Notamacropus eugenii: one gene and its partners. The protein of the gene in region 2 binds, or shares a complex with, the protein of the main gene of each other region. Links are inferred from orthologs where the notes say so. Each region holds a gene or a part of one and is shown on either strand. Other genes may lie near its edges. The genes, in order: TOM1, MYO6, GIPC2 and CLTA.

What was found.
Region 1: the proteins of MYO6 (region 2) and TOM1 are in contact, whole or in part, in a crystal structure (PDB 6J56), measured with the Homo sapiens proteins. The link is inferred for Notamacropus eugenii from reciprocal best matches to the Homo sapiens genes MYO6 and TOM1. Residues at the interface, in NP_001355794.1 of Homo sapiens: Ile1182, Phe1184, Trp1202, Gln1214, Glu1216, His1218, Asp1220, Lys1221, Pro1222, Ile1224, Leu1226, Glu1234, Met1235, Cys1236, Leu1238, Glu1242, Thr1243, Gly1244, Leu1245, Arg1247; in NP_005479.1 of Homo sapiens: Ser440, Glu441, Phe443, Phe446, Leu447, Arg450, Ala451, Ala453, Ala454, Asp455, Leu457, Pro458, Asn459, Leu460, Ser461.
Region 3: the proteins of MYO6 (region 2) and GIPC2 are in contact, whole or in part, in a crystal structure (PDB 5V6H), measured with the Mus musculus proteins. The link is inferred for Notamacropus eugenii from reciprocal best matches to the Homo sapiens genes MYO6 and GIPC2. Residues at the interface, in NP_001034635.2 of Mus musculus: Ser1055, Lys1056, Trp1057, Lys1058, Tyr1059, Arg1084, Arg1085, Leu1086, Val1088, Tyr1089, Trp1092, Lys1093, Asn1096; in NP_058563.1 of Mus musculus: Glu255, Leu256, Tyr257, Met258, Gly259, Ile260, Asp262, Asp264, Leu265, Thr268, Thr289, Leu290, Asp292, Phe293, Ala294, Pro296.
Region 4: the proteins of MYO6 (region 2) and CLTA are in contact, whole or in part, in an NMR structure (PDB 6E5N), measured with the Homo sapiens proteins. The link is inferred for Notamacropus eugenii from reciprocal best matches to the Homo sapiens genes MYO6 and CLTA. Residues at the interface, in NP_001355794.1 of Homo sapiens: Met1053, Thr1054, Pro1055, Met1058, Ala1059, Met1062, Ser1087, Trp1089, Lys1090, Tyr1091, Glu1113, Arg1117, Leu1118, Val1120, Tyr1121, Trp1124, Asn1128; in NP_009027.1 of Homo sapiens: Glu47, Asn48, Glu50, Ala51, Phe52, Ile54, Leu55, Asp56, Gly57, Gly58, Ala59, Pro60, Gly61.

Annotation. Positions count from the first base shown.
Region 1 is NC_092874.1:292,427,377-292,434,333, reverse strand, and holds the start of TOM1 (target of Myb1 membrane trafficking protein), read right to left. Parts: upstream 3,017-6,957; 5' UTR 2,943-3,016; coding exon 2,891-2,942; intron 1-2,890.
Region 2 is NC_092873.1:145,790,168-145,797,897, forward strand, and holds the start of MYO6 (unconventional myosin-VI), read left to right. Parts: upstream 1-4,725; 5' UTR 4,726-5,122; intron 5,123-7,730. UniProt on the Homo sapiens protein: Myosins are actin-based motor molecules with ATPase activity. Unconventional myosins serve in intracellular movements. Myosin 6 is a reverse-direction motor protein that moves towards the minus-end of actin filaments.
Region 3 is NC_092873.1:539,178,444-539,186,113, forward strand, and holds the start of GIPC2 (PDZ domain-containing protein GIPC2), read left to right. Parts: upstream 1-4,654; 5' UTR 4,655-4,887; coding exon 4,888-5,139; intron 5,140-7,670.
Region 4 is NC_092874.1:318,883,869-318,891,312, reverse strand, and holds the start of CLTA (clathrin light chain A), read left to right. Parts: upstream 1-4,426; 5' UTR 4,427-4,650; coding exon 4,651-4,882; intron 4,883-7,444. UniProt on the Homo sapiens protein: Clathrin is the major protein of the polyhedral coat of coated pits and vesicles.

The DNA of each region.
Region 1 (6,957 bases), on a different chromosome or scaffold from region 2:
TGCTGGGATGCTCTGATGGCTGGGAGAGAACAGGAGTAGCTCAGGCTACCAAGAGGAGCTTCCTTAGCCTTCCAAGACCCCCTATACCTCCTGGTTAGTGCTAAGAAAGGCAAACCCTCAGGAAAACTGGTTACATACAAAAGGGAGCTTGCCAAAGAGTGAGGAGAGAGCTGGGTTCAAATCCTGCCTGATACTGACTAGCTACATGGTGCTGAGGAGATGATTTCTTTTTAGGCCTCAGTTCACTCATCTGTAAAATGGAGACACTATTGATAAGGTTTCCTTGGAAGGATTGGTGTGCCCACAGCTGGCAATGAAAGCTCTTCCCAGCTTATTGTCCTGCTTCATACATCATGCTCTCTCTCTCCCAAATCAAGCCTTTGCCCTGGTGGTCCCCTCTGCCTGGAATGCCATCCCTCCTCATTTCTGCCCTCTTTTGCTTTCTCTGAGTGCTCTCAGCAAACGCCTGGTCCACAGGAAGCAGACACTTCACAGATGCCTTCAGAGTTACACTCTATGAATTGCTGTAACTCAGAATGGTGAATTTTCTCCAAAAATCCATTGTATTTGTCAATTAGGGAAGCTCCAATCTTGGCCAGAAGTGAAAGTGGGGCAGTCTGGGACTGGGGGGTGGGAAGACTCAGGAGCCACAGGCATGCTCTCTCCAGCCCAGAACCTGACTCATGGTCAGGTGGCCTTCCAGGAGGCGTCTAAAGCTGGGATCACCCCACCCTGGGAGGAATCTGAGAACAGTTATTCTGACCACAAAGGCTGGAATTCCAGAGATGGGGGATGAGCTTGGGATGAAATCAGATCAGACATTTGGAATTGGAAAGGACAGTCAGTCTGCAAGGCTGCCCTGCCCAGGCCAGTCCCAGGACCAGAATCCCAGTCTTTCTGGTTCAGAACTCTCATTGTAGAAGATGCCTTGGGGGGTGGGGGGTGGGGGGCAGGGGGAGAGGAGGAGTCAGATCCTCACAACAACCTTGGGAGAGAGGGGCTGGTAGTAGTCCCACTTTCAGGTGGGGAAACTGAGGCAGACCTAGCTGACTTGCTCAGGGTTACATACTTAAAAAGTAGCTGAAGCTAAGTTTGGACTAGTTGTGCTCCACCCGGTGAGTAATCCAGCCGCCTTCTGAATCTCATCTTATCCTCAGCACAGTCTTGTTAAGCAGGTCATGCAAATATTAAAAGGCCTGGTTCAGGTCCTCATCCCTTCTGGCCTTTTGATAGCATCCCCAGCCCTGTCTTTCCCCTCACCCAGATGCCACTCTGCCTCCTCCCCTCCAGTGGCACCCCATCACCTCCAGGATCAAATAGAAAATAAAGTCCTTCACCCCATTCCAGTCTTCCACCTTCCACCTCCTGTGTGCTGGTGTTGCTGTTTCCAGAACACATAACTCTTATTTCCCACCCACAGGCCTTTGCACTGTCTGTGCCCCATGCCTGGAAGCCTGTCCTTCTTCACCTCTGCTCTTTGCTACCCCAGTTTCTCCAGGACTCAGTTCAAATCCTACCTTCTTCCAAAGGCCTCTCTTGCGAGATGATTTTCTCTCCACTCTGTACCCATTCCCTAGGCACAGCCATCTTCCCACCCATACAAAGGGAGCTCCCCTTTCTTTGGGTCTCCAGCCCCTCCCACTATGCCTGGCCCGGAGTAAGCACCTAAAGGAGCTGCTGACTGACTGATCACAGACAAAGCAGGGTCTTCCAGTGGCCCCCTCCTCAGCTGGGACAGACCCAGCCTCAGGTCCTCCCTTCTACTTTTCAGAATTCTTTTTTCCTTGGAGGATCAGCTTCATGCCACCTACTCCATGAAGCCCCCCTTCCTCTTCCTAGGATCAACTTTTCATTCATCTGCATAACTATGACACCCACTGTATACATGTTAGTCAGTTAATTAACTGATTAACTGCAGTGACTTCTCAGAATATCAGGCCTAAATGCGTGGTCTCCCCTCAACAGGACACGAGCTTTTCCAGGCCAGGGACCATCTAGATTGGTGACCCCCAACGCACACAGTAAGTGCTTAATAGATGCCTTTTCATTCAGAGGATCAAAAATCTACCGGAGAATGGGGACAGATGAAGGGGTGTGGCCCGGGGGAAGTGAGGCAGGATTGGGACAGAAAGTGCTGTAGCCAGCATTTATTAGGCGCCTACTGTGGGCCGCGGTCTGGCGACACAGAGAAGACCCAGACTCACTGCTTCCCCAGCCCAGGGCTACGCGCACAGTAGGGAGCTTTCCCCCTCCCCTGTATCTGGTCTGCACGTGGTCACTCTGAGTCCTCCAGGGCACACAGCAGGAGCTACAAAAATGCTTACTGACCAATTTATGTCCGTGGAACTGCACCCCCATTTTGCAGATGAGAAACTGAGGCTCAGACAAGAGAAGTGACGCAGAAAAGTTGGGAAGACCCTCGGGGCACTGGTCCGCCCCGGAATAGTCAGGGGCAGGACTGGAACCCAGATCCTCCGCCCCCCCAGGCTCTGTCCCGTGGATCCCTCTGCCTCGAGGTCCCTCGCCCGGGTGCCGAGTGCCAGACCCCGGACACCCCTGTCCCGGCGCAGCTGACGCTCGGAGCCCCGGGGGCGGGAACGCTGCGGGCCCTTTAAGAGAGAAAACTTTCTGCCCGGCTCCGGGGACCTCCTCGGGCGCTGATTGGATAAGCCGCGGCCTCCGGCTCCCGCCCCCCAAGCAGGCTATAGGCCCGAGCCCTCGCCAGTCGGTCAAACCACCTTTTCTATTGGCTCGAGGACGTTGTCACTCCGCGCTCTCGAGGCAGGGGGGGAGGATCCCCTGAGTCCCCTAGATCTGGGGCTTCGAGCCCGAGGGGTCCCCAGGAGGCGGAGGCCGGCATTGGGGAGGCCGGGACGCGCGGAGCACTTACCGATGCGCTGCCCCACAGGGGAGCTGAACGGGTTCCCCAGGAGAAAGTCCATGGTCGCCGCCGCCGCCACCCCTCCGAGCCCGAGGGATCAGCTGACAGCAACTGCCACGGCCTCGGAGTCGTCACGTGACCCGCCCCCCCCCCCCCCCGAGCAGCCACAGGCCCCGCCCCGTGACGTGCCAATCACCGGCACGAGGCGTAGGCGCGCGGTGGGAGCAGGGGGCCCTCGTGACGTCACGCAACCTCGCCACCCCGCAGCCTCCTCCGCGGAATGTCAGAGGTCATCGAGGGCAGCCCCCGGCCTCCCCTCCTCCACCGTTGCACACCGGAGGCCCAGAGAGGGGGCGGGGCTTGCCCGCAGCTACAGCCATAAGCGACTCCCTGGCTGCCTGCGGCCTCAGTTTGCCCCTCCGTGCCAGGGGGCGTTCCCGGCTGGCCCCCGGGGGCTCCGGGTGTAAGGACTCTATGGTAAAAGGGAGAGCGGAGAAGGGCGAGGGGATGGGCTCGGAGTGGGAACGCCGGGTTCCCCTCCTACCTGCCGAAGTCACCGTCAATCAGCATTTATTAAGCACCTCCTGTGTGCCAGCCCCGGAGCGCATATAAGGAAAGTCAGGGGCCGCCCTTGCCCTCTAAGAGGGACCAGGAGACCGGCACAAACTCCTGCCTTGTGCGGCTTCCCCCCTGGAGCCCTCACTGTTGTCATTTCCGTGGTATCTGGCACACAGTAGGCACTCAATAAGTGCTCATGGGGGGCTGGACGCAGTGATCCCCAAGTCACCGTATGATTCCTCCCCACCCCTGGTCACCATGGCAGCTCACTAAGCAGTCCTTCCCCGTTAGCCAACTCCTTGGTATTCCAGCATCTGTTTGGGGGCTTTATGGAGCTCCTGGCTCTCCCCCTCCCCCTACAGATGGGTAAACCAAGGCCCAGCCGTCATGTAGTGACCTAGGCTCTCACCTAACTTTTCTGCTCACTGGCTGTGCCAACCTGGGTAAGTCCATCTCCCTTTGTCTCAGTTTCTATTTGAATAATTAAGTGGAGAACAGGGACACCTAAAGGAGCTGAGGGTTGGACTGATTTCCCTGTGGTTGTAAGCACGTCATCCTTCCCCACCCTTCCGGTAAGGACTAGGACTATTAGACCATTCATTGTTTTTTCCAAAACAGTCAGTGGTCCCTTTCCAACAAGCCTATCTGTTCACTCTGAAAAAAGAAGGAAAATCCAGGAATTGGAAACCCCAAGGGGAGAGAACCACTTGGCAAGGTGTTGCCCTTTCAAGATGGAAATCAGGTGGGCCAGCTTCAAGTTATTTTATTAGATGTTTGACTTCTCTAAACCTATTTCCTCATCTGTAAAATGGAGATAATTACATTTTTACTGGCTGTCTCATGGCGTTATTAGGAAGATGCCATAAACACAAAAAAATTCATAAAAACAAGTTTTCTTTATTATTATTAGGTGTTAAGTATTCATTGATTACAATAATGTGATTTTTAAAAGACCTAAACAAAAGTTGAAATCTGTTTAGGCCTCAGAGGAAACCTTAAAAGTGCTATAAAAATATTAGTTGCTGCTATGGTTCAAGTCAATTCAATAGACATTTATCAGACACCGGTATGTGCCAGGTCCTGGGAATACAAAGTAAAAAATGGAAGCATTGTTTGCTCTCAAGGGTTACATTCTACTGGGGGACAGGGGAGAGGGAGAGAATGTACACAGACAAGCGAATACAAACGTATACCAAGTTATTGGGAGGAATCAGGAAAGACCCAACCATAGGGTACCAGGGCCTTGTACTTGCATAAGCCCTAGAGTTTTCAAAGTGCTTTCCAATCCATATTTAACACTCACCACAGCCATTAAAGGGGCTTCAACAATGATCTGGCTCTTTCTTTGACCAGCTGTGTGACTGCAGACAAGTGATAACCTTTCCAAGCCTCCCTGCCTCATCTGTAAAATGACGTTAATTCTTGTGCCATAAGAGGGTAATTGTCAGGAAAGTGCCTCGTCAACCTTGATGTGCTACACATGGGAGCTATCAGAGTAGAAAGGGAGATCCCCATGCCCTTAATTTACAGAGAAGGACACTGAGGTCGAGGCTGCCAAAAGTCTCCCAGTTACCGATGAGTAGTAAAGACGAGACATTCAGATCTTCTGACTCTCTTTAAAGGAGTCTTTCCATAATACCATATGCTTAACCCCATGAGGTAGGCAGGCATTGTTAGAGGGAGAAACTGAAACCCAGAGATAAATGAATGAATGGTGCCAAGTGTGGGGGAAGCAGATAAAATAAGTCACATTCCAGTGGGGGAACTCACTAAGTTATTTGCTCATGTGTTTTGCATGGTCAGGAAGGAGGTGTGGAGCACATTTTGACACCAGATTGGGGCTGCCTTCTCCCATGTGTCTGCTTCAGAGGAGAACAGAGGAAGAGTGTGCAAAAACCACAGGATCTTAGAGATGTCTAAGTTCAGCTCCATGCATTTAATGGATCAATTTTACTTTATCTTCCATCAGCAGACATGTTTAAATGGATGTAGGGAAAGCAAAGACAGACCCAGAAAAATCCCCAGAAGCACAATGGAACTCCCAAACAAGTCATAGAATAAGCATATAACCCATTGACCAAGTAAAAATAAAAACAAGAGAACATGTCTCACTCCAGAAGTCAATGGGTGGCAGTGGAAAAAACTCCCTGTTCTGGAGTCACAGGTCCTGGGTTCAAATACTGCCTCTGATGCATATAATCAAGTTACCCTGGGCAGACCTAGACCACAAAGCCTCTGAGATTCTTTTCATTTCTAGATTTAAGATGCCCTGATGCCATAAAGTGTGGGTTGGCAAATTACATAAATCATCCTTAGGTTCATACAAAAATCCTTAGGGGTTTGCCAACCCCTGCTCTAGGCAAGGAAAACAATGATAAAAAGTGGTGACTGGACTGGTGTCCTTGCTATTGGACAGAAGAGACAATGACCACGGGACTCATGAGTTACTGTTTTTCCAGTTCAGTGTTCTCTGCCTCTACGCAGGTCTGTTGACACCTGTTCTTTGGGCTTCTGCTTTCTCTCTCAAATTCATTAACTAATGACATATCTTTGCCTCTTCTCTTATGGTGAAGCAACATTCCCATCTAATCTCATACAGTAATTTCTTCAGCCATCCCCCTAATGGGCACCCAAGTGGCTTCTGGATTTTTTTCCATCCTACTTTTCACAGATGAAGAAAGAAGGGAGGGTCACAGGAGAATATTGGAACCCAGGACTCCTGGCTTGTGGACTGTCTCCATCATACCACCTGGTCTCGTGCCTAGACTCAAGAGCTGTTCAGGACCCAAGGCTTCCCTTCCCTCTCTAAACTTGATGCCTTCCCATACTTAAGTTGATCTGGGATTGAAAAGATTGAAACTTTTTTTTTTAACATGCTAGGCAATTCCATGAGATTGGGAGCTTTCTGAGGGCAGGGACTGTCTTTTGTCACTTTTCGTATCCCCAGGGCCTTAGGATGGTATCTGGCATACAGTAGGCACTTAATAAATGATGACTGAATTCTTGCCTCTCCCTTTCAGTAAGTCCTCCACATGGAGTGAACTAAAGGCCTTCCTTTGAACATTTTGGGCAGGCCAGGGCCATGGCCGCAGTAGGAAGGGTCTGCTTTCTGTTTTCTATTACCCTTCATTCTCACTAACTGACTGGCTCTGTTTCCCATTTCTACCTTCACACCGTCAAAACAGTCACTCAGATGTCACCAAATGCTTGGCTTAGATGCCATTTGTAGATGATCGTAGGCAAGTCATTCACTTACAAGCTGCGGTAGTGATGGTGGTGGGGAACCCAATGATCAACTAATCAACCAGAAGGAATTTATTAAACTCCCAGTTTTGCAGGCCCTCCCTGTGCTCAGAGCTCGGGGTACAGAGACAAAGGAAAGCAGTACATTCTAATGGGGGTGGGTCTTGGGCCTCCTATGACAAACTTCCCACTACTTAGGTAACATGTGGTTCCACAACTTGTGAATTCATTTGACAAGTATCTGGAAAGTGTTGACGCCCCTCTGCTGCCCTCTT
Region 2 (7,730 bases):
GGAGTTAGCCAGAAGGGCTACTTCCTCAGAGACTACTGGAACAAAAGAAGCTGAAATAGGGACTGAGTCTGAAGGGATATGAGGTGAGAAAAGGCTTCATTTTCTCAGTGAGCTGTGACAAGGTCTTTTGTTCTTCAGACAGGTAGTTTGAAGAGAGAAGAGGTTTAGACATCTGTGTGAGAAGTTCATTAGACAATTAGGAAAAAGTAAAAGAATTGACTCGGGAGCAATGGGGATCCAGTTGAGATTAGATAACACAGATTTGTAGTAGATACAGGTCAGTATAATTGTGTAACTTCCTCCAGGGGTCATTCGGCAGTAAATTGGCATATCATGATTTATGCAATCTGTCCCTATGAAGGAAACCACAGTAGAATCCCAAGTAACTAGAAGATTCAGGAAAATGGTGAGTTTTCTGGTTAACTAGGACTTCAGTAGAAATTTTATTTTGATTTCATTTTTGTTGCTGAAAATCTTACTAATCCAATAAATTTGACACAGTAAGTACAGAAGTGAATATATTTGTTAATGATTGAGGAATTTGCAAATGACTAAGTTCTAGTAATCATAATGCAGCATTGTAGATGTAGAAAGTACCTCTAAGTTCTACCTTAGAAGCTGTTTTTTTTTTTAATGAAATTCTTACTGTCAGAGTGTTTTCTTGTGCTTTACTCTTTTTCTAAAAACTCTCTAGGATTAATTAATTACAGTATAGTAGATTATCCATGGGATTAATAAAATAATTTCTTATTTTAGAGGACTTGTCCCCCTATGAATCAGTCCCAACCCATGGACATCTATCTATCTGTTCCTTCTCATCTTCAGCAGATTGCTTTTCATTATCCATGCTGTCATCTTCAATCTCTTCAGGTCTACTCACTGCTTCTTTTCTGCCTACAAACTTGCACATCTGTCCTCAAACTTCAAAAAAATCTTGATCCCTCTACCCGGACTAGCTATTGTCCCATATAACTCCATCTATTTATGGCTAAACACCTTAAGAAGGTAGTCCATGATGGGTGCCTCCACTTCCTTTCCTCTCTCTCTCTTCTTAACTCTGAAAGTTGGTTTCTGACCTAATCACTCAACTAAAATTTCTCTCTCTCCAAATTTCTCTCTCTGATCAATGATTTCTTAATTGCCAAATTTACTGGCCTTTTTTCCATCTTCTTCATTATTGACTCTTCTGCAGACTTTTACATTATGGATTACACTCTTCTCCTTAGTATTCTCATTTCTCGAGATTTTTGTGACGCTGCTTTCTTCTGATTCTCCTATCTATCTGACTGCTCCTTTGCTAATTGGTTACTCCCACTATATGTGGGTGCCCCACAGGGCTCTGTCCTGGACCTTCTTCTCTTCTCCCTCTATATTATTTCACTTAGTGTTTTCATCAGGTCTCATGCATTCTCTTTGCTGATGATTCTCAGATCTACTTTATCCAGCTCTAACTCTCTGCTGGCTTCAGTCTCACATCTCTAACCGGACATCTTGAACTGTGTTTCATAGACATCTTAAACTTAACACGTACAAATCAGAACTCATTATTGTTTTCTCCAAGTTGTCCCTTCTCCCAAACTTCCCTATTATTGTCAATGTTATTATTGATAGTAATGTTACAATCCTTATAGTCAATCAGGCTTGCAAACTAGTTATCATTTTCAATTCTTGACTTTCATGGCATCCCTCCTCTGCACCTCCCCCTACCTATATCTTATTCGTTGCTATGTCCTGTTGATTTAATCTTCTTAACATGTCTAATATATGATTCCTTCTCTCCTCTACACCTCATGTTCCAACTCACGATTGTCTTTCCACTTTGGCCCATTATTGACTGATTGATGGAGCCTCTACTCATCTGTCAAAGTGATCTTAAAGTTCTGTTCCTACCCTGTCACCCCCCACTCAGTTAAATCCAGCAGTTCCCTATCATATAAAATCTTCCTTTTGGCATTCCAAGCCTTTTCCATCCTGCCCCCCTCTTTCCACTCTCTTTACGCTTTAACCCCATGGACTCACTGTGCTCAAGAATGCTGCTCCTTACTGTACACACTCCATCCTATATTGACTCTGATTTTTCGCTGGCTGTCTCCCATGCCTAGAATCCTGTCCCTTCTTATTTCTACCTCTTAACTTTCCTGACTTTCTTTAAGTACCTGCTAAAATCCTATCTTCTACAAGAAGCCTTTCCCAATCCCCTTTAATACCTGTTATCTTATCTCCAATTTATCCTATAAATAGCCCATTTGTACCTATTTGTTTGTCTATTGTCTCCTCATTAATGTGAATTTTTTGAAAATTGGTTCATCTTTTGCTTTTCTTTGTATTCCTACTTAGTATACTTAGTATAGTGTTGGGCACGCATTAGGTACATTATAAATGGTTATTGTCTGTTATCATCTTGTGTGATTCTTGTCCAAGTCACTCCATAAATGTTTCTCCAGTTTATTTGAGACTTTGTGGATACAAATGCTATACTAGTGCTGTGTAAGACTATCACAGTCAAACTAAAGATCTTTGAAGTTTACAGCTAGAGAAAACTCAAGATTCTTTGGATGATATATTACATGTTACTTGTGGAAAGGACTAGAATATCCCAAAGGAAGAGGAAAATTTGCTTCTTTCAGTTTGTAAAATAAGGGAAGTATTTCTGTTTTTTGGAAGAAAAAAACAGAAAAAGAACAAAATTTAGGAGTATTTTTTGGAAGAACAGATAGCTAGGAAATCATGCTTAACTAGAGAAGGAACTGAGACTGAAATATGTAACACATTCCTTTTTTACTTTTGCTGTCAATCATAGTCATATGATATACTACCCTATACTTCTTAAGATGTATTAGTTTCTAATGGTTTCCAGGCACCTTTTAAGTTGAATGATATATATACAATTCTAAACTCAAAAAAGGGAAGACACAAGATGCCATAGCAATACTTTAATATTTGTTTTTTTCTCACTACTCCTTCTGCTTGGTACCTTTATTTAACATTTACTTCCTGTCTAGCTAGCTTGAGATTTCTGTGGTTCCAGCAAATTGTTTCCTTTCTTGGTTTCTCTTCCTCTTTCCTCCTTCTCCCAGTACATTCTTCGTAATTCATTGTGGCGGTTGCTCCCTAAAGTCTATACGTTATCAAGGATTTTCTGAACTTTTAAAGTGGCTACTTTGATATACTGGGAAACAAATCTACTTTTCAAATGAAATTTATTCCTTTTTTTTTCATAAAAATGTTCAGCATCTTGGATGAATTTAATTTTCTCCAAACTGAAAATTTATTACTTCAGAAGAACCATAATAATAAGAGCTACGTTTATATAGTACAAGTTAAAAGTTCTTTCCTATAAATTATGTGCTCCCCACAACAAGCCTGTGAAGCAACGCTGGTATCAGAATCTCCATTTTACAGGTAAAACAACTGAGGCTGAGCAGATGAATGGCTTGACCAAGACCATACAGTTAATGAAGATCTCATTTCATGTTCCTTGTTCTTTCCATTGTGCTACTACCTCTGACAAAAGACTCATCAAGCAATGCCTGTCTGAATAGCCCTTTCTACCTATTCAGATTTTAAAATTATTTTCAAACAAATCAACTATGGAAAATGAAGACAAACTAAAAGTAGGATAACGCTTTTTAAAGTTCAAGCTGCCTTTTTTTTTAGGGGAGGGGCGTGAGCACAAATAGAAATGAAACATTCTTACCCTCTGCCTCCTATAGAGACAAATAAATTTGGAAGTAGGCTTCGTATAAAAATCCAACAAAAGTAGGATTTCAAATACAGATACATTGTATCTAAGTGTGCGAGCGTGTGTGTGTTTCTAGATGTTCTAGATAAATTAGACAGTGGAGCAGCTAATACACTTCAGGAGCAGCCTCCTCTTCTCCTCTCTCAGACTTCGTATTCAATGGACTCTCCACGCTAGAAGAAAGACAAACAAAAAACCCAAACTGGTCAGTTACAGAACTTAATTACTGTGACGGGATACTTTAAGCCTCCCTCCCCTTTCCCACAACATTTTTGGTTTCTTTCCCAGAAACACTGGCTTCTTTCTTTAAGTACGTAGAGTTTTAGAGTTGGTGGACACTTACTTTCTTGATGCTGGAAACTCAATCAAGTGTGGAGGAAGGTTTTCCACCGCAGGAAACGCAGACTGGATCTGTCAGTTTCTCTCCCCCGCCCCCCCCACCCTCTCCCTCTACCCTTCCTCCCTCCCCGTGCCGCCCCCCCCCCCTCACGCCCCCCCCCCCCCCCCCCCCCCCCGGGAGAAGTATTGTCTGAAGACTTGGGTTCCGTTTCGGGCTTTGACACTTGCTCCTATGAAAGCAGACAGGTCACTGGTGAGACTCTGGGCAAGTCATTTAATCTCCCAGGGCCCCAGTTTCTTCGTCCGTAAAATGAGGGCGACGGGATTGAATAACCGCTGAAGTCCCTTCCGGCTCCTAATGTGCGATCCTATGACACTCCCTTTTGGCCCCCGCCGAGGACCGTGAAAGAGGGGCGACCCCCCCCCCCCCCCCCCCGCCCCGGCCTGGTAGCCCTTCCCCCTCCCGCGCACAGCCGTTCGGGGCCGATCTGTCGGACCGAGCGCTGGAGTGGGCAGGACAGAGGTGGAGAGATGCGGGCGCGGAGCCGCGGGACGGGAGACTGAAGGGGGAGCCAGGGTGTGTGGCGGCGCGGGCGCGCGCGGTGGCGCGGGCTGGGAGGGGGCGGGCGCGCGCCTCCCTTGCCCCCCCCTCCCTGGGAGCGGCGCGCGCCCCTCATCCCGCCCCTAGCCCGCGGCGCCGGCGCCCCCGCCTCCGCCTTCTCGGGCTCCCCGAGTGGGTGACGTGAGGCGCAGCCGAGTTCCTCCCTCGGACTCTGCTCGGCGCGGCGGGCGGAGGGAGGGAAGGGAAGGCGGAGACGGGGCTCAGCTGCGCTGGGAGCAGGAAGTGGAGCAGGACCGGGAGCCGCTGCCGCCGCCGTCACCGCCAGGAGCCCGGCGCCAGCGCCCTGTCCTCCTTCCCGCTGGGCAGCCGCTCGGTCCCTGCAGCCCTTTTCTCTTCCCTCTTTTCCCTCTCCCGGCCGCCTCGGCCCGGGGCCACCCCGCCCGCAGCCGCCGCCGCGGCTCACCTGCCTCCCCTTCCAGGTGAGTGAGGGAGGAGGGAGTGTCCACACCCCGGGGGGCGGCTGCGTGCCCCGGCGGCCCGAGAGGCTCGGGGGCCTCCCTGCCTGCCCCTGCCCGGGAGTCCGGCCAGCGGCACATCTGCATCTGCAGGGGGCTGTGGGGGAGTGAGGGTCTTACTGGGGAGAGGCGAGGGGTCCCGGCCGGCCCCTTTCTCCCCCGTTCCCCGACCTCCGGAGGAGAGAGGGGCCGGGCTGGGCCGGGGCGCAGGGCAGCCGTGCCGGCTCGCTCGGAGCTGCGGGTTCGGCCGGCCTCTGGACCGGCCAGGTGGCGAAGGAGACGGAGCCTGGGAGGCTCCTGGCCGCTCCTGCGGGAACCACCTGCCGTGTCTGCCCCTGACGCTCTCTGTAAGAGGCTGGCACCGTTGGGGAGGAAAAAAATGAAAACTTTTCTCTAGGAGCTGGTTAGTAAGCACTTAATGAATTCCTTCTGGATTATCATTAAGAAAACGACCTTGCTCTAATGCAGCAGGAATCAAGCCAAGGCAACAGGCGTTTACTTCTTATTAAGCGCCTACTGCATGCCAGGTGCTGTGCTTAAGTGCGGGGGACTAGAAAAGGGCAAAAACAGCCCCTGCTCTCAAGGAGCTCCCACTTATGTGCAAACGAGATAGGGACCGGATAAACTGGAGATAGAATCTCCGAGGGAACACACTGACAGTAATCTTTTATTTGTGGTACAAAGATAGCTTTAATTTTTTTTTTTTTTAGAATAAACATCTTTTTGAAAAATGGGTGCCTTTTGTTTTTACATCCCATTCATTTCTGAGTATATTATTCCCCTGCCAGCCACCTATCCATTCATTCCTTCTTGGAAATTAAAAAAAAAATGCAGTTGAGCAAAACTAGCTCACATTTACCTAGGCTGTGCAGGCCTATTCCTTTTTCCACACCCATAGTTTCCCATCTATATAATGAATGGCCAGAGCTTCATTTTCTTAACTCTTCCAAGATCTCCCTCTATGATTAAATGACTTAAAAAAAATGGAAACATCTAAGTAAATCTGTTATATAAATGAAAGAATCAGTGCATTAATAATAATATAATTGTGTAAGTGCTTAGGTTAAGCATTTAAAAAACCAAAACATTTTTTCACATTGTTCTAAAAATAATAGAAATTAATTTTAAAGAAACTTTATACTCCTACAAGGGAAAAAAATGCCTTCTGTTGCTGTGATTTTGATTTCAGGGAAGTTGTAGTTTTATAACTGTCCTTTTTCCTGATGTTAGCCAACTGCTCATGAGAATATACTGAATTTTACATCCATTAGTGTTCTCATAATACATGTTATGGAGGCAGTATTTAAATACTAACCCATAAGTATTAGTGAGGAATATTACTGAAACTTTGATAAGTTTTTGAAGGTGTTACAATTTTGTGATACAGATATATATCTAGTCAGAGTTTATTGGGGATTTTTTTTTCTTCTGGAGGAAACAAGATTTTAGCATAACTTGTTGAATAAAAATGATCTCAAGGTTTAACAGAAATTACACTTGCCATAAAATGTGGATCTTGAACTTGGGTTGGTAGTGGTCAGGGTACAAAGGTTAACAGCAAAGCAGAGGGCTTTTTTGCACAAATTAACTGAATTTAAAGAGATGTCTTCCTTGTGCTACAGCTACAGCTTGATGATTAGGACTTGTTCAGCAAAATTGTCATCTTTCATTTGTCAAGCTATATAAATACCATGTGGTGGGCCACTCTCAGAGGAAGAAACAATAAAAGCTGTTAATCCTTGTTTTTTGTAAATTTACTTTTTCAAGTACTAAACTTATTTTAGATGTTACACAGAAGTTTATAGGTAGAATGATAAACAAGGGTCCCTTTAACCTTTTGTAAATTTGAATACTGAATTTTATATAAAATCTTTTTGTTCTTTGAACCTTTTCTTCAAGTACAGTTTCAGAAACTGTTAAAAATAAGTAATCTTTTTTTGGTGGGTGAAAGGGAGGGAGTATTGATAGAGATATCAGAAAAAAGAAGGAAAACAGTATCAATGAAACATTTAAAAAATACATTGAAAAGAGCAGAGGCAAGTTCAGAAAGACAAGAGCAAGATAGTTTCAGAACTATACTGTTAAATTTATTATATTCTTAAAGCTATTATACAGTGGATCTTTGTGGTTTTCTATCATAATGTTTTCCTATTATTTGTATTCATGTATGGAAATAATTACGTTCATTGATATTTGTCAAGTTCATTATAATAAAAAAGAAAATATAAAAACAATAACAAAAAATATTTCTTCTGCAATAACCCCCCCCAAACCATATTATTTTTATTTCAGTTATTTCATTGGGTTATTTCGGTATCTTATCAAAAGTTGACCTAAAGTATAAAAAACAGTTTCAGTGATAAAGTTTGTAAAGAACATTAGTCAGGAAGTGAGAGAGCCACTGAAATTTCATCCTGTTGTGAATGTGCTTAATGTGTATTGAATATTATGTCATCCATTGTTTAGACAATTTTGCTTTATTGGGGAGCTGGATTGCCATTTCCTTCAACTTTTAAAAAAAGATTTTGACTGATTTGAATAAGTACAAGTATCTGAAACGCTTAAAATTGTT
Region 3 (7,670 bases), about 390 Mb from region 2:
AAAATGTTACCTACAGTCTGAGTCAATCATCTCTCTATCAGGAAGTGGGTAACATGGTTTCATCATTAGTTCCCTGGAATTGTGATTGGTCATTACATTGGTCAGAGTTCCTAAATCCTTCAGATATTGTCACTATATAAACTTCTCCTGGTTCTTTTTGTCTCACTCTTCATTAGTTCATAAAAGTCTCCCCAGGTTTCTCTGAAACAATTCCCTTCATCATTTCTTATAGCACCCCATCACAATATGTGTATCACAATTCTTCAGCCATTCCTCATTCAGTTCATGGGCACCCCTCAGTTTCCCATTCTTGCCACTATGAAAAGAGATGTTGTAAATGTTTTTGCTAATCTTGGGTACAGTTTGTTTTGCTTAAGGTTAATCCCTCCCTCAATTATTACCTACCGCATGCTTCCCTTTCTCACCCATTTAGAGAGTTGTCTGAAACTCAGAGAGATTGTGAGCTGTCCATGGTCACATAGCCAGGAAGTGTCAGAAATGGGATGGGAATTCAGATCTTCCTAATTCCTAGTCCATCACTCCCTCCACTATGCCCCCCACCCACAAGCACTCACGTGCACACACACATGCACATGCATGGATAGATCTGTCTTCTATCTCCCTATTCCTGATTTCAAGTATATAACATCTTGAGCAACACAATGGTCTTGCTCCTCATACTCCTTTTAGGCAGGGAATAAAAGCAAAATCCTTTGAACCATGATTATGTTTCTGAGAAATTGATGTTATTTCCTTACTTTATGTATTTGCTTGGATGCATCATTAGCATATCCCCTTACAGTAATTGTGGTGGTAAATTATTCAACTTGAAAAGGCTACAAGCCAAGACCAAAGTGGAGGAAGTGTTAGCACAGGATTTTCTCTTCTCAAATGATTGTGCCCTCAATGCAGCCTCTGAAGTTGAGATGCAATAAAAGGTATGGATCCATTTTGGCCTAACAATGAACACCAAGAAAGCACAGGTGCTCCATCAGCCACCACCACACCATCCATATATGGAACCATCAGTTCCAACAAATGGAGAAGTCTTGAATGCTGTGGATAAGTTCACTTACCTTGGTAGTGTACTTTCCAGAGATGTACACAATGACAATGATGTTGATGCATGCATTGGGAGAGAAGAGGTATTAGACTGACTACCAAATGGAAGATCTACAGAGCCATTGTGCTGATCTTATTGTTGTATGCCTGTGAAACATGGACAGTCTACCAGTGCCATGCCAGGAAACTGAATTGCTTCCATTTGAACTGTCTTAGGAAGATCCTGAGGATCACCTGGAAGGATAAGGTACCAGACACTGAGGCTCTTGCTCTAACTAAACTGCCAAGCATTCAAATTCTACTGCAGAAAGCCCGACTCTAATGGATCGGCCATGTTGTTCAAACGCAAAAAGTACACTTGCCAAAACACCATTTTATGGAGAGCTTACATACAGCAAGCATTCACATGGTGGTCAGAAGAAGCAATACAAAGACACTCTCAAGGTCTGTCTTAAGAACTTTGGAATTGATTGTGTTACATGGGAGACAGTGGCACAGAACTGCTCAGCATGGTGTGCCTTTTTCAGATAAGGAATTGAAGTAACTCAAAAGAAATGCGAGATGCTCATATTTAAAGAATCCACCCCAAATGTTCATATGGAATATTTATGCCCAACCTGTGGTAGAGCATTCCAAGCTCTTATTGGTCTGGTCAGACACACTAGAACTTTGATCTAGCATAGTCATTTTGGTCCTCTTCGGGAATGAAGGACAACCAATAGTAATGGTGATCAGTCAATCAACAAACACTTATTAAGTTCCTATTATTGGTAGGCACTGGGCTAAGCACTGAGGAGACAAAAGAGGCAAAAGATGGTCCCTGCCCTCCATGAGCTCATAGCCTAATGAGAGAGACAACAAACAAATAAATAGGTACAAACTATGCACAAACTACATACAAAACAAATGGCAACAGGCAACCCAACAAAGGCAAAGGCATTTGAATTAAGAGGGACTGGGAAAGGCTTCCAGTAAAAGATGAGATTTTTCTTGTTACTTAAAGGAAGCCAAGGAAGTTACCAGTCAAAGTGGAGGAGGAAGAGTATTCCAGGCTGGGGGACAGCAAGAGAGAATGCTGGGAGCCAAGAGATGAACAGTCTTGTTCATGGAACAGTCAGGAAGTGAATGTCACTGGATCAGAATTCCTGTGGAGGAGTGGGATGTAAGAAGACTGGAAAAGGAGAAGGGGACCAGGTTATAAAGGGCTTTGGATGACAAGCAAAGGATTTTGTATTTAATTCCATGAAGGTGACAGAGTTTATTAAATAGAGGGGTGAAATAGACTGGTGAAAATCACTTTAGTGGCTGAATAGAGAATGGACTGCAGTTGGGAGAAACTCGAGACAGGCAGACAGCACCCCCCAGCAGGGGTTGTACTTGAGGTATGTAATAGAAATAGAAGTAACAGGCCTTGGCACCATATTGAATATGGGGGATGTCAGATAATGAGGAGTCCAAGAGGACTACGTTGAGAGCCTGAGGTACTGGTGGTCCCCTTGACAGTAATAGAGTGGTGGAGGGAGGCTAAGAGAAAAGAGAATGAGTTTAGTTTGGGGTATGTTGAGCTTGAAATGTCTCCTACTTAAGATGTCTTAAGGGGATTTGGAGATTTGAGATTAGAGGTCAGCAGAGAAACTGAGGCAGGCAAGGTAGATTTGAGAATTATCTGCCCAGACATGGTCATTAAATCCATGGGAGTTGATGAGATCACCAGGGAAGTAGTAGATGGGGAGAAGAGGACTCAGGACAGAACCCAATGGCACACCCAGGGTGGGTGATATAGCTGAGGATCCAGCAAAGGAGATAGAGAAGGATCGTCAGAGAGGTGGTGGGAGAACCAGGAGAGAGGGGGGTTCTCTGGAAAACCCAGAGAGAAGAGAGTATGGAGGAGGAGATGACAGTCCCAGTGTCCGAGGCTGCAGAGTCAAGAAGGAGGAGGAGGGAGAAAAGGTCATTGGATTGGGCTCCTAAGAAGCCTTAGTAACTTTGAGAGGGCATTTCTAGTGGATTGAGAAGGTCAGAAGGGTGAGGGAGACAGGAAAATCAGTAGAGGACCTTTGCTAGAAATTTAGCTACGAAGGGCAGAAGAGGCAGATGAGGAGCCAAGCTTCCTCTCACTTGCACCCAGAGCCTTCCTTCCATCTCCAGCTGGGGCAACTTGTTCCGCTGAGTCCGTCTGCCTGACTGGTCTTCTCTTGGGTGCCCTGCCACCCTCTCCTAGGTAGCTGTCAGGTAAGGGCCTGCCATTTTCTGTCTGCTCCAAACAACGACTTCCACCTTTGCCCACACAAGGCAACTTCCGCCTCTCAACTCAGTCGCCTCTCCGACCCTGGATTTCTTTCTATCTCTTCCCCTCATCCCCCAGCTCTGAACCTGTTTCCTCAACCATAAAAAGGAGATAACCCTGGTTCTGCCTCCCTTCCTCAATCAGTTGCCAAGCGTTTATTAAGCCATCAGTGGGAATGAAACGAAAAAAGAGGAACGATCCCCCCCATCTCCCCAGGAGCTCACATTTTTCTGGGTTCACAGCACAGAAGAGGGTTGGAGCCACTAGGAAGGCCCCTGGTTAGTTCGGGCTTCTTATCGCGGTTTCAGGAGAGGTGCATTTAGGGTTAGGGGCTCTGGGAACCTGGGGATCAAGACCTGCCCCAGACGCCTACCTGCTCTAGGGCCCCCAGTAATTAAGTCTCCAAGCTACCAGTGACCCAGGCCACTGGGGCGCTAAGACAGAGACAAGCTGCTCATGGGCCCGAAGAAAAAGGCCACCTCCATAGGGCTTTAAAGTGTGCCAGTCCCTCTACAAGCCTGCGCTCCCAGACCCTCTCAACCCCTGGAGAGGGAGGCACCATCTCCATTTGCGTCTAGGCCAGGTGAGGATCTGTTGGAGGAATCCGGGATGGGTTTGCTTCCAAGTGCAGCCTGTTCTGAGGCATTTCCTGAGGGAGATCGCATTTGCCGAGTTGGTCTCTAGAGAGGAGCAGCGGGGCGCTGAATGTGGGGGGGGGGGGGGGGGGGGAGTGGCAAGAGGCCGATGTAGGTTGATGTCCCCAACCGCTTGCCTCAGAAAGATGGTGGTGATCTTTGCTGGTGGGGTAGCTTTGATTACCGTTTCTGGGTCGGTTGTATTAGACTGTGATTGAGGCTCCATTTCGTAGGCCACTGGACTCACAGCGAGGGTCAGACTGGGCAATCTTCTTGGTTCCCAGTTAGGCACTCTAAGCCCTGTCGGACGCATATTTTTCCATTATCCTTCATAGGGAGCCTTGAGACTGAGGGGACCCCCCACCTTCCCACCCCGCCTCGCCCTGGCTCCTCGTGGCCGGATTTCCAACTCCAGCCCGGTCTTGCAGACCCGAACCGTTCACCGTGAAGTCCCACCTTCCCCCTGGCTCCACTCCCTCGGCTTCATCCTGGGACACCGCTGCCCCGCTTCCCCTGACTCCCCAGAAGCGCCGCTGCCCTAGGAGTAGGAGAGGCCGGTGCGGGCAGGAGGAGAAAACTGGCCAGCCTCCAGTCTCCTAGAAGGAAGGCGTAGGCGTCGCGTCGCAGCTATTGGCCGGGGTCAGCCTTTTACCTGGGACACACCCAGCCCAGGATTGCCCTGCCCCTCTGCTCCCTACCCTCGGGCACCACAGAACAAAGTCCGCTGATCTAGCTCGCCGAGCTGCAGCCACTGTCTTCGAGGCTGCTCCTGCGTGTCGGAGAGGACGCGGTTACCTGTGCCGGCCTCCTGCCCCCAACGGACGGCCTGACCGACAGACGCCTGGTCTCCTAGAGCCTCCTGGGGCCCCGTCCTCACCCAGCCGCGCCCTCTGACCACCTAAGATGCCGCTGGGACTGAGGGTCAAGAAGAAGAAAGCCCGGTCTACGGACGTGTCCAAGTTGATGGAGGGCGAGCCGATTGCTCAGAGCGCTTGGAACGCCCAGTCCCTGCCGCTGGAGCTCCAGCCCAAGCCCAAGCTGGTGTTTCACACGCAGCTGGCACACGGCAGCTCCACGGGCACAGTGGAGGGCTTCTCTAACATCCAGGAGCTCTACACCAAGATTGCCCAGGCTTTCGACATCTCTCCCTCCGAGGTAAGCAAGGGCACGGGCCAGTGCCTGGGCGAGTTTCAGTCTCCTCTGCTTCCTGTTGCTTGGTGCCTGTCTTTCTATGCCACTCAGATGGCCGAGGACTCCCTCCCCTGGCTCTGGAGGCAGAATCGCCGGGCCTCGAGAGCAGAGAAGGACCCACCTCAGACGCCATCCAGTCGGGCTCCCTCATTTCCCTGATGAGGAAACTGAGGCCTCGAAACGCGAGACTTGTCCCTGCCTCTCAAGGAGTAAAGGACAGACCCTGGATCAAACACAGGTCTCTTTTCTTGGCTTCAGATACCTCATTTGAAGATTCAGACCAGTTTGTCCTTGGGCAAATTATTTAGTCTTCCCATGCCTCAGTTTCCTTATCTGCCCAATGAAAGGATCCGACTGGGAGGCCTCTGATGTTATCTTCAGCTTTAGAGCTACTGTCCTCCGCGGAAGGAGGTCATCCTGGCCCTGGTCTGGGAGGGCAGGCGCCTTGGATTCCGTAGAGACCAAAGTCCTTATCCCATCTCTCAGCATTTATTAGCTTTCTGAATCCAGAAGCCAAGTCTCTCGACTTTCCTGGGTCTGACAGGTCCCTTCTCTTATCTGTGAACAGAATAATCATGCCACCAGTGTTACTTACACCACAGGATTCTTAGGAAGATGGAATAAATCCTGCAGCGGATCTCAAACTTTTTGGAGTCAAGACCCCTTACTCACACGTAAATGATTGAGGCCCAATTTCCTCTTCCCCGCTTTGTTCTATGGGTATTCTATCCATACTTAGCATTTTAGACATTTAGTAATCCGTGAAGATAGTTTTGATCTCAGTGACCCCCTGAAACCGGTCCTGGATAACACTTTTAGAGAATCGCTAAGATAATGCAGTAAAAATGCTCTCTCTTCAGTGGCAGTGTGGAGGCAGTGGTTAGAGCTGGTCTCCAGTCAGGAAGCGGTCTATCTGGGGTCAAGCGGACTATCTGAGCCACACTCGCTGAACGGCTAAAGTAACCTCTCGGCAGCTCCCACTCCGCCTGAGCGCTACAGGGGTTTCCACTCTGGCACATAGTATGGAGCCTCAGTTTCCTCATCTGTAAAATGGAGATAAATAATGCCTATTCTTGTGGGCAACTTGAGTCCTTCCCGGGTAATCTAGAGATTACTCTGTTACCTGAGAGTTTAAAAATCAAGGCAAGGCACTGTGCCCTAGGTTCTAGGGCTGCTAGAGAAAAGAGAAGGAGTTTGTTTGGAGCAGGTTGGAAATCGGGAAGCCCACCTCGCATATCCCAGATGCAAGAGATAAGGATAAAGGCATTTTGGAGTCTCTTGGAGGCTCTGGAGATGGCACTTGCTCCCGGACGGTGATCAGAAGGTCCGAGTTCTGGGCCCAAGAGCCAGGGGTCTGCCCCTTGGCTGTGAGCTCCTGTGCTGGGGAGGGTGGTTAGGACCTTCTGGCCTGGGCTTTCTTCTCGGCATCGATTCTTTTCGAAGGGACCAGGGACCCTGCCTTGGCAACCCTTGGGGAACCAGTTGAGGTTCCATCCCGGAGTAGAGCCAAAGAAGGGCCGCTCCCTTTTCCTCTCGCCCTGCTTCCTCCCAGCCGTTCGGGGCGCTGCGACTTTGGGGCCCATTTCTTCCATCCAAATTCACTGAGGGAAAGGACAGTGATGATCACGCCACATATAGACATTGAGTACTGAGGAAAAGCTTGGCTGTCCTGTGCTCGAAAGCTGGTTCTGACCCGAGTGACCTTGGCTAAGTCCCTTCCCTTTCCTGAGCCTCGGGCTCCTTTTGGCGTGGCATCTGGGAGGCTCCAAAGGATCTCGAATCTCAAAGCCAGAGCCTGTGGTCAAGGGGCCTCTGGCATTCCTATGAAAGAGAGCCATGGAAACCACTAGGTTCTTACAGGAGGAAGAAAGGGAAAAGAAGGTAGTGGCAGAGGGGAGCTGGCTGAGAAGGAGGGAGGAGATCTATCCAAAGTCTATCCAAAGTGGTAACAGCCTGTCACTTTGTTTTGACATCTCTAGATTATCAGGGAAGGGTTCAAGCTGCCCCCACCAGGTAGGTGGCATAGGCATTATTTATCTCCATTTAACTCATGAGGATACTGAGGCTCAAATCAAGTCAAGAGGCATTTATTAAGTGCCTACTATGTGCCAGACACGGTGATAAGCACCAGGGGTACAAAGAAAGGGAAAAAACTAGGTCTGCTCTCAAGGACCTCCCAGTCTCATTAAGGGGTGACACCACAGAAACATGATGTGGGGATCTTAGTGGGAAGGTCTCAGAGAGTTTGTGACTTACCCAAGGTCATACGATCATTAACTGTGATTAAACCTGGGTTCTTTCAGATCATCTTCTTTATCCTATCCGTAGTTCCCTTTCTATATATTTGTTTGTATATTTTCTGGCCCATTAGATTGTGCGCTCCTTGAGGCAGGGACTGTCTTTTGCCTCTTTTTGTATCTCTGGCACTTAGCAGGCACTGGATTGAATGAATGAATACTGCACAAACTGTTGTTCAAAGGATCAGCAGCTACACT
Region 4 (7,444 bases), on a different chromosome or scaffold from region 2:
TACCACTGCTCTGCCCCAGTTCTTGATGGGGTAAGCTGGTTCCTGGTCCCCTTCCCTGCTCTCCTCCACAGCTTTAGCAAGGGATCAGGAAGCTGGGCTCCGAGCTAAGACAAACAACACCACCCTCTGTTTAGCCTCTGGTTTCTGCTTCCAATTCCTGCTGGCCCCAACACTGATCCTAGCTTTGGCCCTATCATTATTTCCTCTTTCTGGAATCACCAGGTAGATGCTAGTTTCGTTCCCTGTTGCAATCTTGATGAGCCTCCACTATATATTGGGGATTATAATTTTATCTTCCCCTGGGGGGTTCCCAGGAGCCTTGGACTGGTTTCCATCTTCTCCATCAATCTCCCAAGAAGCCTTTATCTCCTACTCCAGCTCCAGCAGGCTACTGGCTATCAGGGTAGTGTCAGTCCTTATGGAAGGCCCTTGCTCTGTCCCAGCACCATCAGGCTCCTCGGTCCCTTCACCTCACTAAGAGACATTCCACCCTTCTTGGGAGCTAGCTTTATTCTCTGTTGGGATTCCAGTAGTTCAGGGCTGAGATCTCACTGTCTTCAGGCCCTCTGTACTGGAGATTATGTTGCCTTCAGCATACTTCTTGCCTTTTTTGTAATTATTCCTATCCCTTGTCTGGTCAAGGATGCATCTCCTACCCATAAAAACCCAAACACTTTGGGATAAATTTTAGCATCATTATCATTCTCCATCCCTCCTTCACTGCACAGTGATGGACCTAGAGAGGTGAAAAAAGCCCCATAAGAATCAGCTATTTCCCAATGCTTAGGTAATACCTGGTACCTCTGCATGGCTGACAGCTAGATGGCAAGGAGATAGGGTACCAAGCCTGCGGTCAGGAAGACTCATCTTCCTAAGTTCAAATCCAGCCTCAGACACTTACCAGCCATGGACCCTGAGAAAATCACTTAATTCTCTCTTAGTTTCCTCATCTGTAAAATGAACTGGAGAAGAAAATATCAAGCCATTCCAGGGTCTTTGCCAAGAAAACCCCAAATGGGTTCACAAAGAGTCAGACACGACCGAACAACAAACAAGTGCGTTGTAGAGAAAGGAGAGGGGAGGGTTTGTAAAGAAAACAGTGAAGAGCTTTAGTCTGCAAACTGATTCAGAGGATCCTAAAAGGCCTGTATTGATTCTCCTCCTTTTCCATAGCACCCACTTTAAATCTAGCAACAAACACTAAGCCCACCACATGAAATGAAAATACACTAGGAAAGATGAAGGACTATAGGGACTGTTAAACTGAATGCCATAGTATATTTCATAATGTCTGCTTTGTGGTTTCCATAACCTTTCTTCTCATTTTATGTAAGGACATGTTTACTTTTTAGAATTTTGTAATTATAAGTGTCTAGCCTTTGCAGAATGTAAACATGAACCTGTATGGTTTGCTGCAGAACATACATCCATATCCACATTTATATTCTTAATTGATACCTTTTACCCTGTTAGGATTCCTGTGTTTGGTAAGTTTATTCTCTTAAATCTGAGTCAGTATTCATATGTAGAATCACAAAGGAAAAAGGTTATAAACACCTCCACCAGAGGTCTTTGATCCTTGCTGGAAACAACCCAAGTCCATTCTCCTGGAATTTACCATGTGATTTAGAGGTAACTCAGTGGGAGAAGACTCAGGTCCATATAATTAACAGGCTACTGTCCCCAAGCCCATGCACTTTTACTTGCTTCTCACTTTCCTTTGCCTTCATCCTAAAACCAGTTGCAGTCTCCCTCCCTATCACCTCCTATTATATACTTCATAAATAAATGTCCACCTTCCCAAATAGCCTCAAAGCAACTCGGATCATAGATGAGATGTTCCACATCTTCCCTGGTTAGCTGAATTTTGAATAAAATTGGGAGACATTCTAATCCTATATTCTAAATATCAATTGATTGATCATTCCTCTCAACCAATTACTGTGCTCAAGGAACCCAAAACATAGATGTAGGAGTAGGATTTAACAAAATATCTTGACCCTCATCAGTCATCCTGGAACACCACACACTCCCCCTTACCCCCTCAAAAAAAAAAAATAGAAAAGAGGAACAACTGCAACACATGTCAGAGAGGGAACTTTTTTTTTTTTGAGACTTGTCCAAGCAGGAAGTACAGTGACCTCATAGTCTGATCCCACTGATGATTTTTTCCATTTCTGATCTGGGTAGGGCCCCCTAGTTAGGTAATCTGCTCCTGGGGGGGTGAGGGTGGGGCTAGCATACTGATGCCAGATTTAGTGTGGATACCTGATCCACTGCAGCTCATTGCAGTTCAGAACTCCTGTGTTCAAGTGATCCACCAGCCTCACGCTTATACAAGCCTTACCTTCTCTGGGAGTGGGATTACAGGTACGTACCTCCCCACTTGACAGACTTTTCTTATATGGAAAAAGGAAAGTTAGGAAGCATATTTTCAGGGCCATAGTATACCAGTCTGGACTCCAGTCATCTGCAAAGAATATCCTTCAATAAATCTTTTTTAGACATATGTCATATTTGAGCTTTGTCCTTTCCCCTCTTTTAATTGCAGACAGTGAATTACCAAGTAATTACTGGATTGGAGAGACCTTTGCTGACAAATCTAAGCACTCACACTAAAGTTTTCAGCTGCTGTAAGCAGACTTAATTTGGTCCCTAGAATATTTTTTTTTAAGTTAAAAGCATCCTCATCACTGAAAAGTGTGAGAACCACTGGACTAGGTGATCACTAAGGACCCTTCTACTTCTAGCAGTCTCTTGGGGACTTGTGGTATCATTAGGACAACAAATACTCAGTGTAGAAACTTTTTCTACCACATACAGATAGCAACTCTTCTGCAAATTATAGTTTTAAAGGATGGCCTAGGGAACTGAGAGGCTTGAGTTGCCCAGGGTCACATAGGTTAATATGTGTAATCAACAGGACTTAAAATCAAGTGTTGGGTTGCTAGGCCTTGCTGTGGATACAGCATGGGGCCTGGAGTCAGGAGGACCTGAGTTCAAATGTGACTTCAGACACTTACTAGGTACGGGACCCTGGGCAAGTCATTTAGCCCCCATTGTCTCCCCCACCAGAAAAAACCCAACCCAAACCAAAAAATAAGTCTTACTGACTCCCAGGATGGTCTTCCATCCCCTATGCCTTGCTAACACATTCTATGACTGAAACAATTTTTGAACAAAATAAGGATACTAAAAGTGACTGTTATCATTAAATCATTCAATACACATTTTTAAAGCAACTATGTCCACTGTGCTGGGCAAGGATGGGGGAGGGGAGAGGTACAGAAAAAGATAAAGTATCAACAATAATCTAGCCTTTAGCCACAGTAGCTTCTTCTGCAGTTGTAGAAACCAATGTTCTCTTCCTCTGAACTAATTTTTTCTAAGTTAGAAAAATGAGAACTGAGAAATCAGGAAACCTTATCATTTTCTGTGAATCTGTAAGTAAACAGGAAGAGACAAAGAGGCTGAATTAGCTCTATAACCTAATGTTTTAGTTGCATAAGCTAACATTTTAAATTTCTCATGTTACCCAGTAGGAAGCAGGTTGTAGAATGGTTAGAGATCTTAGATAATTTCTTTTCCACTTTCCTTATTTTACAGGTAAGGGAACTGAGGTTTAGGGATGTTAAGTACTTGATCCAGGTTCACAACCCTAGGAGACACAGAGGCGAATTTGGAGTCAGGTACTGAGTCTATCATTTGTTGCCTCCTCCCCTCCACCCCTGTTTAAAACACAAAGACACACTCCAAATTTTTGACAAAATTAGTTGAACATACCTACATATCTGTTTTGTTAAAATACCATCAAAGAAAAGTGTCAAAAATCTTACATCCTACAGTCTCAAAGAAGACAAAGAACTTTCCATCCACCAGAGCAGACTAAAACTGGTGAGTGATTAGGAATTGTGCTTTGAGGGGAGATCTGAGTTCAAATGTAGCCCCAGACACTTGACACTCATCTCCAGTAATCCTGATGAACATATGGTCACTGGATTCAAATCCAGCGCCCTGTTTCCAGTCCTGGGACATTCTGTTAACAAGAGCCAGTGGGCTATGGCTGCCATTTGTAGTGCGGTGTATCGTAGGGCTGGGTTGTTTTTGTTTTGGGAAGGTGTGGGGAAGGAAGAGGAACAGTGCGAGGTTACAGATGCAGGGAAAACTGGCTCGTCTGAGGCTCCCCGAGAAATCCTATAGAAACGAGGAATGTAAAGTGACACGCGGAGCCTCTGGAAACATACTAGCAGTGTCCGAAACTGACGCATGTAATTAACTCGCCAGCTCTTCCCGGGAAATTCACAATCACGTGCCGAGCCTTTGCAACTCCTTCGGAGACTTCCCCGACTGGCGGTTCGCTATTTTGATTGGCCGCGTTCCTGGCCCCACCCTCGGCTCCTGGAGTCACGAGTTTTCCCAGGGCCCGCCCCCGCGTCCCTGCCGATTGGGCCTCGGCTCTGAGCTACGAGGCTGCCGATTGGCAGACCCTACTTCTCCCCTCTGCTGCCTTCACCTCTTGGGGGCGGGGTTTCCGCTTCCGCCCCTCGCCCCCCACGATCACCACCGCCACAGTGGCCGCTGACCTCCGTCCCTGGCTGCCTGCCCTCCCCCGGACCTGCTCCCTGCCCGCCCGCTCCGGCCCTGTGCGCCATGGCTGAGGTAGACCCGTTCGGTGCGGCCGCCGCTCCGGCCCCTGCCCCGGGGGGCCCCGCGGTGGGTAACGGCGTGGCGAGCGGCGGCAGCAGCGAAGAAGACCCGGCCGCGGCCTTCCTGGCCCAGCAGGAGAGCGAGATCGCGGGCATCGAGAACGACGAGGGCTTCAGCATCCTCGACAGCGGCAGCGTGCCGGCCTCGCTGCAAGGGGAGCCCCCCGGAGGCCCGGGTAAGAGCCGCGCCCGCCCGGGGGGCCCGGTGGCGGGCCCGGCGGCCAGCCCGGCTCGGGAGGGGGCCGGGGCTTTCCTGCCCTTCCGCCTCTGCGTGCTGCCGTGGGGCCGGCGGGCGGGGGAGGGGAGGGCGGGCCCGGGCCGGGCCGGGGACGGAGGAGGAAAGGGAGGCAGAGCCCTGCTGGCCTGGCGGAGCCCCCCTGGGGAGGAGGTCCCTGCCGGCCGCCCATCAAGGGTCACTTTTAGGAAGGGGGCGATTTCTGTTCTTAAGCAGGAAGTGACAAGAACAGGCTGAGCTGAGGCTGGCTATGAAGGGTCGGAGGGGCGTTCAGTGGCCGCGGGGCGCCTTTGAGCTGGGAGGACCGTGGGGATCGCGAGGGAGTGGACGGCGGAGAAGCTCGGGTGTCCGGCCGGCCCCTGGGGGAGCCTGTGTCAGCCCTTTGAACGATCGAAGGGACGGCCTCGCGTCTTCCCTCGGGGCAGAGCACGGGCAGAGCCTTCCGAGGGCAGCCGAGAGGCCTCCGGCCTTTGGTGGGTCTCCCAGCAGGTGGTGTGGACGGTTGTGGAGAAGAGTTTCAACCCGCTTTCTGCAGGATGCAGGTTTCCAGAGAGCCCAGTTCAGTCCCATAAACACCAGTGCCTGCCCTGTGAAAAGCACTGCAATGGTGGTGGTAAATCCAGGGGAGTGGAGGTCTTTACCTCCATGGCTCTTACACTCAGACAAATACAGTAGGGGAATTCTAGAGGAGCCTACAAGTGCTTTGGGGACTGGGGCTTCCTCACACCCTGGGAGTAATTTTTGATTTTGTTTTTGCTTGCCCTCACTCTCACCCAACTACCAAATCCTGTCTGTTCTACCTCAACACGTCTTCTTCATTCTCTTCTCACTCACTGATCCCCCATCCCATGTACTGGGACTCTCTGTGTCCAGTCTCTGGATTCTCCACAGAGCTTCTGGCATAGGGCAGGGCAGCCAACATCTTCTCCAGCATTTGCTGTGTGCCAAGCGCTCTGCTAAAGCACGGGGGGGTACAGATAGGAGCAGATGTAAGCAAACACGCAGGTGATGTTCTTAAAGATCTTACATCCTCATGGGAAGAGACAACCCAAAAAGGAGGAGGAGAGTGTAGAAACAATAGCGGCGTTTGGGTATAATACCAAAGACCTCAGAGTCAGAGGCAAATCCAGGAGTGAGATGAAGTATGGCTGGGTCCATTCCCCAAGTGGGAGTCCCAGGAAGAACTCACACATGGGAGAAGGGGCTGGGGAAGCAGTGATGCCCTAGGATAACGGTGCTGGGGCCAAAGTAGACGCTGGCTTTGGAGAAGCTTGCATCCCACTGGGGCTTGAAAATTACCAGAAGATAAATAAACAGAAAGTACTGTAATTGGAATGAAATCCACCTCTGCTGAACCTTGAAGGAATAGTAGCCTCCACATAATACATCTCATACATGGGACTGTGAAAATGCTTGGAGGCCAGAGATAGTGTCGAATTCAGGAAACAGCTAGGCGGTAAGTTTGGAATATAGAGTACATTAAGTAGGAAAGTATGAAACAAGACTGGAAAAGTAGGTTAGAGTAAGATTGTATAGGGCCTTAAGTATAAAAATGAGGGCTTGTGTTTTATCTTAGATGCAAGGAACAACCAAATGATTTTGAGCAGGGGGTTAAGGTGATCAAAGATCTGTTTCTTTGGAAAAGTTATCTGGAGGATTAATTGGAGAGCCCAGACCCCGAGAGCAGGACAGCCATCTCTTCAAGGAAGTTTCTTTACCTCTCAATACCAGTGACATCATAGTTCCATTCACCCCCTTCCTCCCATTTCCTCCAGTGCAAAAAGTGAGGGTCTCAGTGTCAGAAGGGATGGATAACTGACTGAATGGGATTAAGGAGCCCTAGGACTTGAGGGTAAGATGGAGTTTTCAGTCTTGGTCTAGTGGGAGAACTGTGCTACCTTCAAAAGAAATAAATTATTAACATATGTGATTGGCATTCAGGATATCAAGGATAGATATATAGATTTGGGAGTCACATGCCCGGAAATTGTTTGAATACCTAGAAGCTGATGACACTTTCAGGGGACAGAATATAGAGACAGAATAGGGTCCATGACAAAGCCCTGGGGAGCATTCATGCTGAGAAGACTGGATATAGATGATGACTCAGCAAAGGATATCAAGGATTAGTTAGGTAAGTAGGCAGAGAACCAGGAGAGGGCAGTGGAAGCTGAAAGAGGAGGAGGGGGGCTGACTTTTTCAATCTGCAGTCAGGGCAAGGAGGAGGACTGAGAAGAGGCTATCAGATTTCGTGGCCAAATGAGGGTCCTTAACTTTTGGAGTGTAGTTGCAGAGTTAGCTTTTGGACAGTAGATTAGTGGTGAGGTTGGAAGCCATATTACAATGGGTTGAAAAGTTAACGGATGACCTGACTTCTCTGCAAAATATTTATTAAGGACTACCTGTGTTATCAGGTTAGGGTGCTGGGGATTCAATGACAAAAATGAAACAATCCTTGCTCTTGAGAAGCTTAAGTTATATCAGGGAAGACATACATAAATAT